Rattus norvegicus: one gene and its partners. Each later gene encodes a partner of the first gene's protein in a complex. Links are inferred from orthologs where the notes say so. Each region holds a gene or a part of one and is shown on either strand. Other genes may lie near its edges. The genes, in order: Pigh, Pigy and Pigp.

The links.
Region 2: Pigh (region 1) and Pigy share a complex: the UniProt entries of both Homo sapiens proteins name them as parts of the glycosylphosphatidylinositol-N-acetylglucosaminyltransferase (GPI-GnT) complex. The link is inferred for Rattus norvegicus from reciprocal best matches to the Homo sapiens genes PIGH and PIGY.
Region 3: Pigh (region 1) and Pigp share a complex: the UniProt entries of both Homo sapiens proteins name them as parts of the glycosylphosphatidylinositol-N-acetylglucosaminyltransferase (GPI-GnT) complex. The link is inferred for Rattus norvegicus from reciprocal best matches to the Homo sapiens genes PIGH and PIGP.

Annotation. Positions count from the first base shown.
Region 1 is NC_086024.1:103,619,232-103,625,589, forward strand, and holds the end of Pigh (phosphatidylinositol N-acetylglucosaminyltransferase subunit H), read right to left. Parts: coding exon 6,233-6,358; intron 4,430-6,232; coding exon 4,346-4,429; intron 3,512-4,345; coding exon of another isoform or gene 3,455-3,511; exon of another isoform or gene 3,353-3,454; coding exon 3,260-3,352; 3' UTR 1,477-3,259; downstream 1-1,476. Other genes in the region: Plekhh1 (pleckstrin homology domain-containing family H member 1), read left to right, coding at 216-371. UniProt on the Homo sapiens protein: Part of the glycosylphosphatidylinositol-N-acetylglucosaminyltransferase (GPI-GnT) complex that catalyzes the transfer of N-acetylglucosamine from UDP-N-acetylglucosamine to phosphatidylinositol and participates in the first step of GPI biosynthesis.
Region 2 is NC_086026.1:28,962,960-28,969,285, forward strand, and holds Pigy (phosphatidylinositol N-acetylglucosaminyltransferase subunit Y), read left to right. Parts: upstream 1-3,465; 5' UTR 3,466-3,740; coding exon 3,741-3,956; 3' UTR 3,957-4,917; downstream 4,918-6,326. Other genes in the region: uncharacterized protein Pigyl1, read left to right, coding at 2,071-2,280, 2,516-3,154. UniProt on the Homo sapiens protein: Part of the glycosylphosphatidylinositol-N-acetylglucosaminyltransferase (GPI-GnT) complex that catalyzes the transfer of N-acetylglucosamine from UDP-N-acetylglucosamine to phosphatidylinositol and participates in the first step of GPI biosynthesis.
Region 3 is NC_086029.1:47,150,653-47,157,200, forward strand, and holds the end of Pigp (phosphatidylinositol N-acetylglucosaminyltransferase subunit P), read right to left. Parts: intron 5,031-6,548; coding exon 4,958-5,030; intron 2,779-4,957; coding exon 2,660-2,778; intron 2,106-2,659; coding exon 1,981-2,105; 3' UTR 1,949-1,980; downstream 1-1,948. UniProt on the Homo sapiens protein: Part of the glycosylphosphatidylinositol-N-acetylglucosaminyltransferase (GPI-GnT) complex that catalyzes the transfer of N-acetylglucosamine from UDP-N-acetylglucosamine to phosphatidylinositol and participates in the first step of GPI biosynthesis.

The DNA of each region.
Region 1 (6,358 bases):
AGGTGGAATAGCATATCCATCTTTCTATTGAGCTGGACTTGTGGGAACTATCTGATCCAGCAACTGCTGTCCCTCCTGGCCTCAGGAGGGTACAGTGCATCTCAGACTCTCTAGGCCAACAGCAACTAAAGCCCAGGTACTCAATGTTAGAGCCAGTGAAAAACCAGCATTCAAGATAAAGCTAGTTTAATCCTTCACTTTCCTGATCTCCTTAGATTACAGACACTACCTTAGTGATGGCCAGCTACATGAACCACTGTTCTGCAACTGTGAACCTATCAGCCAAGCTCCCTGCAGCCCGCCAGCCCAGAGACCTGGATGGACAGTTTTTTGCTTCTGTTTCCTGCACTAAGGGGTCAGCTTTGCTGTGAACGTTTCTCCTTCCCATACCCTTAAACCACCCCTGGTGCCTCTGGGATTAGATTATATCCTGGAGCATACTACTGTGATGGGTCTAATGGCCCCTCCTCAAACTGTTCTGTGAAATGTATATTTCAGGGTCTCTTGAAACCTTTGTGACCGTTAGGTGCCTTATCTTTCAAGGCCTAATGTTTTAAGATTCAGACCCAACATCAAAACCACTATTTCTTTAACAAGAATACTGACTCCGGATGCTACCTGATTCTAGATTAAGACAGGGATGGCCCGCAGTTACCAGGGCAATGGTACTGTATTTGGGGCTTCTGCACTGATACTCAGGGAAGCTCATCTTTTTATATTGTACATGGTCTTTACGTGGGGACTTATACTTGAAGTTTTCTGAACATCCCTGAATAAAATAGGACTAAAGTTCCTAATTCACCTAAACTCTGGCAAAAGCCTACAAATCTCTAAAATTGAATTTCTTTCCCAAATGGGAAAAACACTGGGGCAGCAGCTCTAATATTTTCAGGACAGCACAGTGTTCTGTTAAGAGTAAAGCCCTCTCGGGGCTGGGGATTTAGCTCAGTGGTAGAGCGCTTGCCTAGGAAGCGCAAGGCCCTGGGTTCGGTCCCCAGCTCCGGAAAAAAAAAAAAAGAGTAAAGCCCTCTCTCTCACACTGGACTAGCACAGGTAGGGACAGAGCCACACCCTTCCTGTGTCATTTTAAGGCTCTGCAAAGCTCGGTGACGGCTGTGCTCACTCCTGAAGGACAAGGTGGTCATCGTCTCCCTGCACTCTTAAAGACCACACACATGAATTTTGCTTGTTGCTGCTCTCAGAGGCCACCAGAACAAGGTGTCAGGAACAATAAAGACCCTTCCATTATTGGAAGGCCTGGATTGCTCACCAAGACTTTTGGTAGATGGCTTCTTGAAATCATTTGGAAGCACAGGGCATGTATATGATATCTGCCCTAGTAACATGTGGAAACAGAAGTTTCTTCCAACTTTGCCTTCCTGAGAATATTCTAACCCCTCTCAACTCAAATCTAGCTGATTTTGATGAAGATGATCTTTATTTTACCTCCCCACAAAATAAAAAAAAAGTTCATACTTTGGTTTTCCAACATATAAAAAAATAAGCTTTATTGTATAGCTTTCAGACAGTTTATCATTTTTCAGTAACATGGACTAGGGAATAGGAAGAATATCAAGAAATAAGCCTTTAACCTAACAATGTGTGTGTTGTACACCACAAGAAACTGCAAGGCCAAAAATTAGTTTGTCCGAATGCCTCAGCTGCTGTAGTCTTTCATCCTTTGAACTGACAAGCCTGACTTTAAAAGGGCACAAGAGTCTGCCTCTTAAAGGAGCGTGGCTCGAAAGCCAGGCAGCTTTATAACCGTTTCTGTTTGCACCCCAACTCCCACCCCAGAATTTGGGGTTGTAGTGGAGACAGGTCTACCTCAAGTCACATCACTATAGGCTCCTGGACAGCTCCTTCAAGGCTGGCTGAAAGGCAGAGAATTCAGTTCTAGGTTTACATCCAAGGGCCTTGAAGCCAGTAAGGATGCAGTCTGCTCTTAGGTTGTTTGTGCTTTGTAAACAGAACTCCAGCTAATGCAACTATTTGTACTAGACTTGAAGGTCAGAGACTTGAAGGTCAGATCTGTTGCTGCTCCCCTCCCCACCCCCCTAGTCCCCCCTTCTCTCTTGCTCTCTTTGAGACAGGGTTTCACTGTGCAGCCTTAGCTGTCCTGGAACTCCCTATGTAGACCAGGCTAGCCTAAAACTCAGAGATCTACCTGCCTCTGCCTCTGCCTCTGCCTCCCAAGTGCTGAGATTAATGGCAAATGCCGCCTAATCCAGCTCCTTTTCTCCTTCCTGATCTTTAGAATCTAAGGAACCACCTTTGAAACAAAGGCTTCTGTAAACTGGCTTCTTCATCCTTTAATGTGACAGTCTCAAGTCTGGGAACCAACATGTAATCTCTCATTTTTCATCTAAGCCCTCTTAGCCAAGCAGCTTTTGAGCAATAGAAAATATTAAGTAACAGAAAGGTACTAATATGCTTGACACCCATGGCTGAAATGCTGTGTATTATGTCTGTCAATAAAAAGCTGTCAGTGAACCAGACCATGACTGTGTGTTGTACATGTTTATTACCTTGGGGTTTGAGACAGTCTCATCATGTAGCCCAGGCTGGCCTCAAACTTTTCAATCTTCCTGTTGACACCTTCTGAGAGCTGGGATTACAGGCATCCACACCATTCCTACCTAAACTGTGGATTAAGGAGTCACTGTCCTGCACAGATCACAGGAGCTAGGTGGACAGAGGCTAGCCCTTTGTAAGGCATTTTATTCCTGCTAATTCATACATAAAAACGTGACTTATTTTTCCCTAGCTTTTCAATAAGAGTCTATACAGATGGAATTATATTTTTCTTGTGAAATCTGGTACATCTTAATACTCCACAGATTTTAACACAAACATGAAGGTACTTAAAATTTTCTTTCTGGACAATACATTTTTGGGGGTGGGGGAATCCTCACTATGTAACCCAGAATGGCCTTAAACTCAAGAGATCACCTGCTTCTGCCTCTTGAATGTTGGGACTAAAGGCATGTGGCACTATGACTGGCCTTCTTTTGACAAGTCAAAATCCTTAAGGTCTCCCCTTGATCAGTAATATAGATAAAACCTATACCGGGAACATTATGACACACACATCATGAACATGAATCAAGTTCCAGCCCCTCTTCTGTGGTTCTGAGATCTACTCGTTTTGATTCCCAGGACCGTGTCTGTCCGATGGTTTTGACAGTACAGAGAGTAAACCAGCTACTGTGGTTGAGGAGTCCTCTCCATAAAGATACTGGCGATTGAGTGCTGAGAGTCATAGGCTTGTTGGCGTGGCTTTCTGGTGTGCCAGAATCTCCTGGCAGCTTCTGTAGATTTCAATCAAGCAGTCCAACCGGGGCTTGGCGCTCTGGATTCCAAGGGGAGAGATGCAGAGCCAGGGGAGTGTGAGAAGAATGCACCTGCACCCTCCACCTCTCATACACCACAGCTCCAAATGTCAGCTGTGCGCTCAGACACAAGGGCGGGCGAGCGGATGAGGACCTGCTGGGAGGTCTCTAAATCCGGCCTTTGTGTGGGGGTGTGGGTGTGCAGGGGAGAAGGGGAGAAGGGGAGATAAAAAGAGGTTTTGGTGTGGTTTGGTTTGGTTTCTAGGCAGGGTTTCTCTGTGTAGCCCTGGCTGTCCTGTAACTTATTTTGCAGATCAGGCTGCTTCTGCCTCCTGAATGCTGGTATTACAAGCATGCAATCACATGACAGTGAGACAGATCATGTCAGAAAATGTTACAAGTTGTGAAAGAAGCATCAGAGACAAGATGTACATTCTGAAAAGATCTTGTATTATAAAATGTAATGCAACTAAAATTAAAAGACAACCCACAGAATAGGAAAACTGTATGAATGTCCATTTAATAAATGTTTACTATGCAAAATAACCCAAAATTATTACAAATACATAACTGATCTCTAGGTTCTATCATTGAGCAGAGAAGATTGATAGTTTACATGTTTTACCATAGTGGTTTTTATTGAAAGATCAAAACAAGATAATCTAGACATTATTTAAAACCTAGCAATAACACAGCTAAGTAAGCTGATACTTTAAGTATAATGGCTGTGACAGACAAGACATTATTTATATTATTACCCTCAACCTTAAGATATCAAGGTAAAATTATAGGTGAACAGAACTGAAGTACAAGAATGTGATTTGTAGGTAGAAGTGGTTATATGATTGGGAACTGTCTTCTCTAAAATCTAAAAAACCCTTTTACTCAAATTGGTTGTCAGACATTGCCAGTACTCTGACAACAGAAGTTCGTGTCCTACTGCACTTTCTGACTTAAGGGTAAGCAGAAAGAAAAGGCAGGCTTTCGGGAGAAAGGGAGAGCATGGTACTCACCTGGAAGACAGGCACTACTTGGGATATCTCATGTGGTTTCCCTGGATCCTTCAGTAAAATGCAGAGGTAGTAAATGACCTTCTGCTGTAAGAAAAGAAACCAGACAGAGACCTCAGTGAAACTCATCTTGTTCCTTTTTTCTTCAGAGGCAGACTAAAGAGTCCTTTTCGTAAAGTATCTCTTGTGTAGTAAAATATCTGACAACTTCTGAAACAGAAGAAAAGTATATTTTTGCAATGGGGGGCATGGTGGTGGTGGCACACACCTTTAATCCTAGCACTTGGGAGGCAAAGGCAGGGGGATCTCTGTGAGTTCCACGATAGCCAGGGCTTCACAGTGAAACCCTGACTGGAAAAAAAAAGGAACTTTCATTTCTTATTTTATATATAAAAAATATTTTTGTTTGTTTTTCTTGAGACAGGGTCTAATGAAATAGTCATGGCTAGCCTGGAACTCCCTTTGTAGACCAGGCTGGACTCATTAAGAGAGCTCTACCTGCCTCTGCCTCTGCCTCCCAAGTGCTAGGATGAAAGGGACAAGCCACCATGGCAGCAAGAGATCATCACTGTGTTGTAATGTGCTCACAAATAGAAACATCAGAGCTAGATTAAGGTAGTTACTCAAAACTATCCAGTCAGAATGGCCACTCTGGAGCCACGGGGCCTCACTTAGGGGTTATACTTTATCAACTACACTTTTATGCCACATATCCACTACAAAACAAGAAAAAACATGATGGAGTCGAAACTAGAACAGCAATTAGCTTTCTCTCTTCCTTCATAATTTCATGTATGCATTTACCTCCATTTTGTCCTTTAATAGATCACCCCCCCTCCAAAAAACAAAAACAAAAACAAAAACAAAAACAAAAAACGTTCCTTTGAACCAGAAGTTCATAGGACCAAGGCAGGTGGCTGCTTGAGACTAGGTTGGACCTGGGCAACACAGTAAGTCCTCGTGCCCTAGAGGAAGAAAGCAACAAGTAAACAAACATGTCTGAGCTGCAAGACAAATGGTGAAATGGTGACTGTATCCATGACAACCTGCTACTTCTCCAAAACAGTCATGCTTTACATATCTGCTATGTGTTTTAAGTAGGTGTGTACTCCTACTTGAAAGAGAAAAGCCTGGTAGCCAGGCATGGTGACATAATCCCAGTACTCAGGCGGCAGGAGCAGGTAGATCTCTGAGTTTGAGACCAGCCTGGTTTACAGAGTGAGAGGAGGTGGGCAGCTAAGGAGACAGCTCGCCAGGTCAGAGTGCTCGCCGTTCTCCCACAGGCCTGGAGTCAGTGCCCAGCACCCATGCAGGGCAGCTCACAACCACCTGTGACACCATTTTCAGGGCTCTGACATCCTCTTCTGGCCTCAGCAGGATATACATACAGACACACATGCATAAGCAGAAACAAAACCAAAAAAACTTAAATTAACAAGCAAAGAGAGATTAGCTGCAGGAGGATGGGAAGTTCAATGCCAGCATAACTATACAATGAGACCCTGACTCAAGTAAAGCAGCAGCAGTGTTGCACTTGGCAGCAACCTTAAGCATCTCGTATTTATTACACACCATCAGTGGGATGTCTGAGTGATTAAACTGTACCATCTAAGCCTAAGTGTGTGCTGTGATGTCTGTACAACCAGCAAACTCGTGAACAACACATTCCTTGCAACATACCCCATCACTGAGGAAAGCATGACTATAAAGAAACTTTTACTTCAATGTAAGTTTCTTTTCTACAGCTCACAGGCATGCCAGCCAAAAACTACCTGTATTGGAACAGAGGCACCGTAAGTTTAGTTCTGTGACAACGACTTTTTTTTTAATTAGGACTCAATTTAGGTTGCAGCACACCTCATGGGCTGACTGCCTCCTCTGGACACTTACCATGTAAATAGCCTCATTAATGATAATATCCTTGACCTTGTTCATCTCTATGAAGGTGGTACTTTCTTTGCCCGATGCATAGGACGAAGTCATCTGGATGCCAAGTGAGTCGATGATTAATAGAGT
Region 2 (6,326 bases), on another chromosome or scaffold:
ACACTTCCTGATAGTGCCACTCTCTGGGCCAAGTATATACAAACCATCACAGACCCCGTGCGGGGGTGGGCTTTGATGATAGTTTGTTAGCAACCAGGACTTTCTACCAGCCTGCCCTCAGGGACCCAGGGGCAGCGTATGTTACCCCCATGTAAGGCATATGAAAGCCCATAGCCACCACAGATCTCTCTCCTTCTCCTTTGCCCCCCTCTCTCTCTGTCTCCCTGATGTCCCCACTCCAAGAAGGCCCTTCACTCTCCTCCCTCCCCCAATGACCCTCTTACATTAGGTCTGTTGTGTGGCGTCATTTCTCAGTGGCACCCCTTGGCATGGCCCGCCAAAGCCACCCCACCCTAGGCACTTCATCCTACCACAGTTGTTTTTGAGTCATTTCTACACCTGTACGTAGCCCGTCACTCGTATTTCTGTAAGTAACCCCAGCCACACTCACTGGTTCACTACACTGGTGCAGTCTATACTTTGGTTTGCAGTGGGACCACTCTCTGGAGTGAGCAAATGTGTGTGTGTGTGTGTGTGTGTGTGTGTGTGTGTGTGGTGTGTGCACAGGAAAAGCCTGTCGCACAAGCACCAAGGTCTCTGATCCTTAGTGCAGCAGCGTCTGTCGATTTAAATCTGTTTATTTAAATAGGTTTCTCCCCATGCAGAGGGCAGCTTGGAGGAGTCAGGCTGAGGCACTCTAGCCATCTTGGCAAACATGGTCTGGTAGGCCTTGCCCTTCTCTCTCATTCCCTCTGCTAAAAACCACTATGTTGTATTCCTCACGCTAGCTCTCAAGGTCTGTTCCCTTATCTGACCACATCCTCTTCAAGGTCCGGCTGTCAGAGTATTGGAGTCCAGCAAACTAAGGCTCCCTTTGGCTGCCCTATGGAACATTCCAATTGAAATTAAATACCTAGTCCTAACATGGGGTTTACCCTTTACAATTTCAAACCGCCACTTTCCTATGTGCCACGTCGATCTCCTCTCTATCCAGGCCTTTGTTGTGTTGTCACCATCCTCTCTGTTGTGCGCCCCCGCCCCCGCCCCAATCCTTTAAATCCAGTCTTTGATTCATTCCCTGCCCTTTGTCCTTTGGGGCAAATCTCTGTGCTCAGAACTCGGTTTTGGGTGTCTTGTGCCAATACTGGTCCCTCCACAGGCTTGTGCAGTGAGTGTCTTTACCACTTGAACCATCTTGATACTTTTTGTTTCGATTTTTAAAAATTTAATTTAAAAAAATGTTCATATCTGCTCTGTGTAAACCATAGGATGGCTTTGTCCTCAGCTCTTTTCTGCCACCTTGTGGTTGCACTAAAAACTGCATGGAATCGATACCACTACTTACCTGTGCGAAGAAAAACTTTCTGATCTTTTAGTTTGCTGGAAGATTAAGGGATGGCGGTCCCTGTGTGGTACTGCATAGAATCCTAGCTCAGTCTCATTTTTCTTTACTCTGGGATCAGAGACAACACTGTCTTACTAGGCAAAGCGGTGGCTGTGCACAGCATTTACTACCCGTCCCCCAACACACACACACACACACACACACACCGTCTTACTATGTAGTTGCGATGACCTGGGTGTATGTAGACCAGGGTGACCTCAAACTCACAGAAATCTTCCAGCTTTTGCCTACTGAGTGCTGGGATTAGGAGTTTAGGCTCCCATGCCTGGCTACATTCTCTCTCTCTCTCTCTCTCTCTCTCTCTCTCTCTCTCTCTCTCTCTCTCTCTCTCTCTCTCTCTCTCTCTCTCTCTCCCTCTCTCCCTCTCTCTCTCTCTCTCTCTCTCTCTCTCTCTCTCTCTCTCTCTCTCTCTCTCTCTCTCTCTCTCTCTCTCTCTCTCTCTCTCTCTCTCTCTCTCTCTCTCTCTCTCTCTCTCTCTCTCTCTCTCTTTTGGTTCTTTTGTTTCGGAGCTGGGGACCGAACCCAGGGCCTTGCGCTTCCTAGGCAAGCGCTCTACCACGGAGCTAAATCCCCAACCCCAACATTCTCTCTTAAAATTGCATTTTACACTTTTTGCAGGAGTACACGCGGGTGTGCTGCAGTACATGCGTGGAGGTCAGAGGACAATGCGAGAAGAAAATAGGTTCTCCACCGTGGGGGTGGGGGTCCCCGAGGATCGAACTCAGTTACTAAGGCTTGGCAGGAAACGCCCGTACTCGCTGAGCCCTCTCATCGGCCCAAACTACTATTTTGACATTCACCAATTCAAACGTAAAACGACGGATCGGACTCGTTCCCCGCTGCTTCAGAGGCTGGGTGATGGTGGCTGCGACCAAGTTTGATTCAGGCTTCAAGTTTATCAGTTAGAAATGGGGAAAGCTTTTCAGCGCAGAAAGACACCGGTCTGCTCTGGAACGCCGTGAACACACTCTGCGGCAAATACGTTCCTCTCCAAGGTCCAGCAGTCCTGGCACACAGGACGCCCAGCCGGAGGCCGTGGGGTCCGGGGCAGGGAGGTCCTTATCAATCAGGGTCCTCTCAGCACCCCTCTGGCTTCACCCGTCACTCAAGACTACGGGGGCGGAGCCTGAGCGCCGGAGCGAAGGCGTGGTGCGCTGTCCAATGAGCACGCGCGGATCGGCTCCCTCGCGGGATCTGGGTTTCTTACCCCGCCCCCTCAGGGATTTGATTGGGCGGCTGGCCCGGGTGCTCCGCCTTCGTAGAGCGGTGACGGTCACAGCCAGGCGCAGCCGGGACCCGGACATTTACAGGCCAGTGAATGGTGAGTTCAGGGTCTCGAGATCCGATACGGGCGGAGGAGCTGTTGGAACCGGCTGGGACAGGACTCGCGCTAGCAAGGCGTCTGCGCCACGGACGCCTCCGGTTCCGCTTGGCTGGCTGGTTCACTTTCGATTCGGCCGGGTTCTCCTCTGCCCTGTTCGGCTTGGTCCGGTTCTCTCCGGCTTGGCTCGGTTCTCTCCGGCTTGGCTCGGTTCTCTCCGACCCGGCCATCGCTACCCTCGGTCAGCCAGAGACTGCAGCGGGACCCGGGTGCCCCTTCGCGTCCCCGAGGCGACTGGGCCCAGGGCTGGCGCTGTCTTCACTCTGTGCATTGACGACGGGCGGCTCGTGACGAGGCTCCGGGTTCCGGTGCTGGTCCCCAGCCGGTCCTCGTCGTACGGGAAGCCTCCACTCAGGTGTCTGAAGTGAATCTGGATTTGTAGGTCTCATTCCGCTTCCTCGGTTCGAGAAAACACTATCAGTCCACCTGTCCTTCATTCTGCTTTTCGAATTTCTTAGTTCCCAAAGAAATGGATGACACTTGAGTGTTTTGAAGGTTTGTTTTCTAGTCGGGCGTGGTGGCTTGGGAAGACTGATGCAAGAGGATCCCAATGTTTGAGGCCAGACTGCAAGTGACAGCAATCCTCCTGCCTTTAACCTGCTCAGTACTGTACAGGCTGTTTCCCCTTCTTTTCCTTTCCCTTCCCCTCATCTTGTCATCTTGCACTTTTCTCATACAGTAAGGAATCCTTTAGCCAGCGCTGCGAGGGACACGTGTGTTGTCTGCAGTCGCTGGTAACCGCTTCGTGTGGTGGTGGATTGGATCAGAACGAGGCTGAGGAGCCGTCACCCTCAGCCTGGGACCGCTGAAGTTTTTGTGTGCTCTTGGGAAGCATGCCTGGATGAAAGAGGAGTCCAGAGAAAGGGAAGATAAGACAGGAGTGCACCAGCACAAGAACATAACTTTGAAAACAACCGAGTTTTCTTGAACTGTATACCTTCAGAAGGGAGGAGGATGATCCTGTCTCTGCCCACCCTGACTGTCCTCATCCCGCTCATCTCCCTGGCGGGCCTGTTCTACTCCGCCTCTGTGGAAGAAAACTTCCCAGAGGGCTGTACCAGCGCCAGCAGCCTGTGCTTCTACAGTTTGCTTCTGCCGGTCACCGTACCGGTGTACGTGTTCTTCCACCTGTGGACTTGGATGGGCCTGAAGCTCTTCAGACATAACTAGGGTAGCTGAGGCCCCGCTTGTGCACGGGGCAAGAGGCTCCTGGTTGTTGGGTTCTGCCCTCAGGTGTTGCAGATTCTCCTGTTAGTGCTGTAGCTGAAAAACACTTACAATAAATATGTCCCAAGGGAGAGGAACATGACCGGTCTTCATCCGAAGACTGTTTTTTCTAAGATTTATTCTTAATTATGTGGATATGAGTGTGGGTCCCCAAAGAGGCCACACGAGGGTTGGAGGTACGAGCAACTGTAAGACTGCCGGAGCTTTACTCAGATCCTCTGCAAGGGCAAGCAAGTTCATGTCCTTAACCCCTGAGCATCTCTCCACCTGCCTGTTTCCTCCCTTCCCTTAGTTCTGGCTAACCTCAAACTGTGAGAGGCAGACCTTGACCTCCTTACCTTCCTGTCTCTACCTCCTGAGTGCTGAAGTTATAGGCAAGCATTGCCGCATGTGTTTATGTGGTCTGGCAGAACCCAGGTCGTGAACGCTAAGTCGGCACTCTGCCAGCCAACCACCCTGAGGACTGTGTTGTTGTTGTTGTTGTTTTGAGTCCATTCATTTAAAAGTCCGTCATTTGGAAGCCGAGCAGTGGTGGCACTCACCTTTACTCCCAGCACTCGGGAGACAGAGGTGGATCTCTTGAGTTTGGGCCAGCACAACGAGACTGTAAAAATAATAATTTGGGATTTTGTTTCAGCTTCAAGGTCAGTGGTGAGGTGTTGGATCTGCTGAGACAAGGGTTTCAGATGGTTGGGAACTACTGTGTGGGTGCTGAAGAAAATCCAGTGCTCAGGGATGACTCCTTTGAGGAGCTGAGTGGTCCGTAGGTTGGTGGCTCACAACTGCCTGTATTTCCAGTTCCAGAGGCTCTGACTCCCTCTGCTGGACTCTGGGTACCTGCACACCTGTGACATGTCTATTCATTCACACACATTAATAAATTTATTTTTAAGAGGGAAAAAAATCTGACTATAAACTTACCTTCATTGTTTTTTCTTTTACATTTATTTTTTTTCTTTTCTTTTTTTTCAGAGCTGGGGACCGAACCCAGGGCCTTGCACTTGCTAGGCAAGCGCTCTACCACTGAGCTAAATCCCCAACCCCTCTTTTACATTTATTTATATGAGTACACTCTAGCTGTCTTCAGACACACCAGAAGAGGGCATTGGGTCCCATTACAGATGGTTGTGAGCCACCATGTGGTTGCTGGGAATTGAACTCAGGACCTCTGGAAGAGCAGCCAGTGCTCTTAACCACTGAGCCATCTCTCCAGCCCCTACCATCATTTTTTCAGTGTCAGGTGAGCAAGGTCAGTGTTGGTGTTTTCTGGTTCTTGGATTCTTATTCAAGGAATAAAGGCCCATATACAGATTTTCAAAGTTGCAAGGAAATTTCACTCAAAGCAGAGCTAGATCAGGCATGCAGATACATGAGCCTATGGGGGCTCTTCTTACTCAACCACGACACCTGTTCTCCCAGCCTAAATTCCTCTGACTCCTTATGACTCCCTGTACCTCTAAGTTCAGAGGCTCTGCCTCCAAAAGCACTGTACTCAGGTTTTTAACACACACCCCTAAAAATAAACACAAAGTTTTCAAAAAAGAGAACATGTTTTCTTTGGCTGAAAGCCGTCCATCCTTGCTTGAAGGTAAGCCAGAGATGGGTGTGACCATTGCCAGTTCTTGATGCCTGCATTGGACAGAGTCTGGAAATCCTTGAGTACATTGGGCCCTGTGGCCCAGAGGCTGTGACATTCTTCCTCTGGGGAAGTCCCAGACACCCTGGAAACAGGGTTAAAGAAGTCAGGGGGCTGGAGTGATGGCTCAGAGATTAAGAGTGTCCTACTTTTTTTTTTTTTTTTGGTTCTTTTTTTCGGAGCTGGGGACTGAACCTAGGGCCTTGCGCTTCCTAGGTAAGCGCTCTACCACTGAGCTAAATCCCCAGCCCCAAGAGTGTCCTACTTTTAGGAAGTGATTTTTTTTAGATCATGAGTGGTTTACTTGCTTGTATAAATGAGCCCTCTGCTTGAGATGCACACAGAGGTTAGAAGCCGGTATTGGATCCTCTGGAACTTGAGTTAAGGAGTTATGTGAGCCACCGTGTGGGTGCTGGGAACTGAACCTGGGCCCTTGTCAAGAACAGCAAGAGCTCTTCCAAGTCATCGCTCTAGCTCCTGGGTTATTTTCTGTTGCTGTGGTAAAACAACCACAAGCAACTTAGGGGAGGAAAGGTTTGTCTGACTTCCACTTTTAAGTTGTAGTTCATCAATGAGGGGGAAGTCAGGGCAGGAGCTCAAAGTGGGGACCTGGAGGCAGGAATTGAAGCAGAGACCATCGGATGGCTTGCTCCCCAGCTCACATTCAGCTACTGTTC
Region 3 (6,548 bases), on another chromosome or scaffold:
TAGGGGATTAGGGGGAGAGGGTGTTTATCTACCCCTATCTACCTATTTGGGGCTCTAGGTAAATCTGTAGAGGCTAACCCATTCCTTCTAGGGTGAGCAACAAGTGGCTCCTGTATGGATCTGTTTTAAGGCTTGCACAGAGCTGTTTGGGGCATTGGTACCTGGGGTATGAGGGTGAAACAGTGTGAAGGGGCCAGGAGGGGTGCTGCACTAGAATATATGGTCTAACAGACACACTGCATGCCGATAGATTGTGTTCTACTCCAGTCCCATCCCTTCTCCCAACATCAGAGGTTCTCGAGATCTGTGCTCTAGAGAGTATATCACAGGGGGTCTAGGACACCAGACTTATTCTCAAAATAATAGTAAGATATTACTAATTCATGCTCAATCTCTGAGTGTGTAATGTTTTCCAGAAGCTTCTCAAGGTGTGTTAATGTACAGACTAACTGAAGGGGCAGGCACAAGATCCAGTTTCTTCTATAATCCAGGCATTAAAGAGATTTGCAAAATTTGAAGACGATTCTATTTGAGCCACAAATTTTGTGCTTGAAAATATGGTATTTTTCATAAGAGTAATTTGTCTTAAATTTCATTGCCTTTGAATAGGCCTATTATGTCAATGTTTTGGGTTAAATTGTTTAACACAATTTTTGTGTGTTTGTGCCCATATATGTATGTGCTGCATGCGTTTGTGCATATATACACATTATATACATATATATATACATATAATATGCGCATATGAGTGTGTGGGTATGCAAGAGGTCAGACACGTGGTAAAAAGGTGATGATTGGCAAAATTAACTTTACAACCAAGAAGAGTTTGGCTTATTATTGGTGTGTGCATGAGTACCCAGGCCACTGCACGTGTGTAAAAGTCAGAAGACAACTTGAGGGAGTTCTCTCTTGGGGATCAGACTCGGGTTGGTAGGTTTGCTGGCAATTATCCTCACCCACCAAACTATCTCACTGCCTCATGACCATTATTCATAAAAATAATATGTAAATCACACAAGCTTTTTAGAAGCTCCCCCTTTGTACGAAATATTTGAAGGTCCTGAGAATATTTAAGGTGAAGAAGAGAAGGTTCACTAAGTTTATTGTAACCCTTAAAAGAAATATAGCCCATAACATGAAAACCCCTGGTCGTGGACAATCCCTTAGGTATAAGGACAATGCCTTTGAGAGACAGATTGAAAAACTGGTTTTGAGACTAATGTGCAGGGGAGCCCTAGATTTTACTCCAAACCTTGCAGGCCTATCACTGTCCTTGAAAGGACAAGGGAACACTGGGTATTGAGTGGCAGCTCTGACTAGTTCCTGCTCTTTTGTAGGCAGTAGGCACAGTCTTGCTGATCCACCAGCTGAGCTAAGGATAAGCAGACAAGATGATCATTTTCAACTCTGGCTGCATGTGAGAAGGCTTGGGAGACATTTGTTCTTGGCTGCTTTATGTTAGGCTGGGGAGGTGGCTTAGTGGGTCAAGTATATTCTATAGAGGCCTGAGGACCTGAATTCAGATCTCTAGCTCCCATATAAAAGTAATGATGGGGTAAGAGGCAGACAGGTAGAGTCCTGGAAGTTTGTGGTCAACTAGCCTGGGGTAAGTGGTGAAGGGAGGCCAATGAGAAACCTTGTTTCAAACAAAGGGTGCCTAAAGAGAGACAACGTAAGTTGTCCTCTGACTTCTATATACACTGTGCATGTCTGCATTCACACACACATGAACACACGCATGTGTGCACATATAGATCTATTCAAGGTTGATTATAGTATAATGTTATTTTATTTATTGTCAACTAAAAACTCAATTGAAAATATTTACAATATCAATTGAACTCAATCTAAGGAATCAATTTTCATGTTTTTACATGTCTATATTGGTTATTAAAAGGACAGTCGATATCACTATGCTCAAAATCATTCAGCCCACAACTGCAAATGGTTGGTTTTAGGATGTTTATTCACAGCTCAGTTTTAGGTGTTGAGTTCTTTGGCGTCTAGGAAGAACATTCTGTTGACTTCACTAATGGGAATGTCTCTTAATGCTGGGATGGCGTCCTCTTGGTAGCTTTTCCTCTGTTGGTTTTTAGCATAGTTATCTGCAAGAAAGGAAAAGAAGCTCCACTGACCCAAGCAATTGTCTCTGTAATTTCTGTGGTTCGTTGAGACCTATGACACTGCTCAGCAGGCTGACGTACAGAGGACGGCAAGCCACGAGGTATCATTAGCTCTATCTCTCATGCTGTAAGGACGTCCCTAACGAACTAAGGCTTAGTTACATGGAGACAGTTCACCTCGGAGGGGAGGGATGTCAGTAGGAGCAGGAGGTGGCAGATCACATGTGCTCACCATGTGTACATTAGGAGTCGGACAGGGATAAATGTTCATATTCAGTTTATTTTTTCCTTTTCATTCAGACCTCGACCCATGGAATGGTACACTCCACATTTAAGGTATCTTCCCACCTCGATAAACCAAATCTAGATAAGCCTCCTAGAGTGCTCGGTATTTGTTTCCATGGTGACTCTAAATCCCTATGAGCTGCTGATCGAGATTAATCATCGTGCCATGTTTAACGTAGCAGATGTTTTCTCACAATGTGTTTCTGAGGCCCACTCCCTATGCCTCACAATTTTATTTCATGTAAACTTACCTGTGATCGTATGGATGGAGTCAAGTGGAGAGGTACTCATCATGTTGATTCCAAATAAGAGCACGTAACCAATTACAACCGTGATCAAGAGATAGACAGGCAACGCAACTGCCCAGTACCTGCACAAGAGAATTCATACATGCTAACAAACTTGTCAAGGAGTCCTAATTCCCAAAACACACGCTAATAATCTGTATTATTATTAAAGTAGCTGACGCATGTAATGGATAGCCCGTACAAGGGGGTCAATGGACAGCTGCAGACAGGTGTCTCAGCCATGCTATCCCAGCCGTAGAGTTTTATTCTGTCCACACGAGTTCTTTCAATATCTGAGCTGTTTCTTCTGGCATTTATATCCCCACATCCATATAACATGCCTACATCAAGATTTTCATCGGCCTCAGACATTTTCTCCAGATGTCCTAATATGAAAGTGAGGTATTTACTTCTTCCTCATACTTTCTGCATATGCTGACCTTTTATTATGTCAGCAGTTAAAAACAACTGATCATGTCAGCAATATTTGCAACTGGGAACCTTAGTGTATTATGTTTTCTTTCTTTCTTTTTTTTTTTTTTTAATTCTTTTTTTTGGAGCTGGGGACTGAACCCAGGGCCTTGCGCTTGCTAGGCAAGTGCTCTACCACTGAGCTAAATCCCCAACCCCATATTATGTTTTCTTATGTTTTGTCTGAGACTATACGTTTCTGTCTACTGCTTCTCCCAGAATCTATCAATGCTCCAGAATCAAATTCGTATATGCCTCTCAGCTTCCCTCTCAATGCAGTGAAGCTCACTAAGTGTTCTATCTTGCCAGGTTTTGTTAAATCACTTCCTCCCAACCCTTTTTCCCTGCTAGGCCTTCTAATAGTTTTTTGCACCATTATACATTCCTCTGTTTTCCATCTCTGCTTTCTGTTTCACTGTTTCAGCCATCAACTTTCTAGATGAGATTTTAATAACCGTGCTTATAACTTTTCAGTGGTTGGACAGCATACCATTCAGGATTCTTTTCTCATCTCAGATTGAACTTTTCCCTTCTGCAGATAGATTTATCTCCACTCCTTTTAGTATCTTCTTCTCTTTTGTATTTAGGGACAGACTTTTCTTTTAGTGCCTGGTCTTTATGATGGCGTATTTATATTTAAGATCCAAGGGATAAGTTGACAGGAAGCAAGGTATGTACAAGGGCAGAGACGGCAGAAAGGTGGATTGTAGATGCTGCCTTTTACCCTGGTCAGCATCCTCAGAAAGGCATTTCCCACCTTTCTCTGGGAAGGGGTGAAGCCTGGGAAGGGAAGAAGCTAGGGGAGGGAGCCTTACTCAGCTATGCAGATAATGGTTTATTATCAGTTTTTACAGTTAGCCCTTGTAACTTCCAGACTACAGACTCTGCCCAACACTTTCCACAGGATGGAACTATCTTCTAAGGGGAAGGCAAGGTCAATCTCCAGGTTTAAAATATGGAAGGAGAGTCAGCAGGTCTAATGCATTTTAAAGACACTTCCTGTCCAATGCAAAATTATCATTACCAAGAGATGCTGCTGCTTCCGAGGTCTGGGTCATTTTTGGAATTCCAGGACATAAATGTTCTTGCTGGGTTCCCCCATCTACCACATGTAAATACCAGAATCTTCTATCTCAAAGTGCTAAAATTTTGTTAATATCTTATCTGCTTTCCTATGTGTGTGCTTATACCTTTAAAAGATTTTTCAATAATGGTATAATTTTAGTATGACTTTAGGAGGAAACAGAGATAAACGTTTACCCCACCACCTTCAGTTAGTGATATATTAATAACCTTTAGACCTGTCAATTGCTGTTGGGGTATGGCTCACCAGTTAAAGTCCTTGCCACCCAAGTGTGAGGACCTGAGTCTGGATTCTCAGACCCAGGTATGAGCTGGGCTTTTGTGGCAGACCAGCTGTAAGTCTAGCACAGGGAATTCTGGAGCAAGCTGGCTAGTCTAGAACTAGCTGTAGATAGAACTCTGGGTTCAATTTTGAGACCTTGCCTCCACACATAAGGTGGAGAGTATCAAGAAAGACTCCTGACATCAACATTGAGGCACTACATGCACATGCAAATATGTTTACCTGCACATAATGTGGCCACACACATGTGAACACCCCTATTACCCTCCCACTCCCCAGCACAAAAATAAGAGTAATGTTCAACTTCAACACAGATACTCATGGATTTTAAAGGAGTAATGATCTGAGGCTTGGGTTTTAAAGAAGAGTATTGCCCCTCAAAACAGTTACCAGTTTTACCCCCACTGAACAAATATTCAACTTACTTTTGAGGCCAGTAAGTTAAGCCTAAGGAGTTTAGCCAAGATTCGGGAACGAAAGCCCACACAAGATAGAGTACTGCAGGGTAGAGAGGGCAAGGGAAGAGAGAAGACATGTCAGAGCGGCACGGTCCAGTCTGTAAGGTTCATAAACGACAAGAACACTCCCCAAAGCTTCGCACTCTCAGAATCCAGGATCTCTAGTGGCTGCCTTATTTGTACCTTTCTTGTAATACCTACCATAATTACTCTATTAAAAGTTTTTAGTGTCTTGGTTTTCACACTGCACTTTAAAAAGCCTATGGATACCACCCAGAGGTCCCAGGGACTAAACCACCATTCAAAGAGTACACATGGAGGGACCCATGGCTCCAGCTGCATATGTAGCAGAGGATGGCCTTGTTAGGCACCAATGGGAAGAGAGGCCCTTAGTCCTGTGGAGACTTGATGCCCCAGCGAAGGGGGATGCTAGAGTGGTGAGGCAGGAGTGGGTAAGCACCCTCATAGCGGTAAAGGGGAGGGGTACAGGGGGAATGGAATGGGGGGATTGTGGAGGGGTAATCAGGGAGATATCATTTTAAAGGTAAATGAATAAAATGACTAATAAAAAAGTCTGTGACATATTATTTCTTAGCAACTTCTTTTCACAGCACCTAACAGTTTGCTTCTGCATTCTACATGTTCACTATTTCTCCACAGAGAAGATATAATTGCATTTAGTGGCTTAAAGGGGAACTTGTCCTCTCTGGTTTTGACTGTCTATACACAATCTTCTTTCTGTCAACACCCTGTCATTGTGGGCTCCTTTCCTGCTGTCTCCGTGCAGTAACAATAGGTCCTGAATGTCTCTACATGCACTAACTCGTTTAATCTTCAAAACAGTCCTGAAGCACACACGTCTGTTTTATACATGAGAAAGGACTCATTTGTACAAGGGAAGTGAAGACAGGTTTCAAGCTACATCAACGGTGATGGTTTTTTTTCCGTTAAGAATGAAGTGTTACAGCTTTGTAGGTCAAGACTGGGATACAGTCACTCCTGAAGAGAGGGTTTGTGCTTTCCCAAATGCTTCTGGTGCTGAACAACGATGGGAAAAGAGATCTTTCCCCTACTCTGTTGTAAGTGGTACTAAGAGACAGCACACAGCACATGGGGAGGGCTCTTCCTGCTCCTTAACCTCCCTCCCCACCGTTTTGCTTCCTGGATTTGTTTTCCTTACCTGTATTCTCCAACTATGTGGAAAGCTCAATGAAAGCAGACGACGAGGCTTGGCTTGCTTTGCCTTTCCCTGGCCTGTAACACTGCCTGGTACATGGTAAGTGCTCAATAAAGTCTTCCATTAGTTTTTGGTTGTATCTAACATGTTTGTAGTCTCTAATCCTTAAATCCTCTTTGCGTAGGAATTTACAGAAATAAACGGCAGCTAATACCTACTCAGCAGCCTCTTTTCATAAATCACCCGAGTTAATACACGAGTCAGAGAAGGTCCTTAGTACAGCGAAGCCTGCAGTGCACCTGTTCTAATTCCAGTCCCGTTGCTTCTTGGCTTTGATCAAGTCACTGAAATCCAGTATTCCCATCTTTACACTGAGGAAGC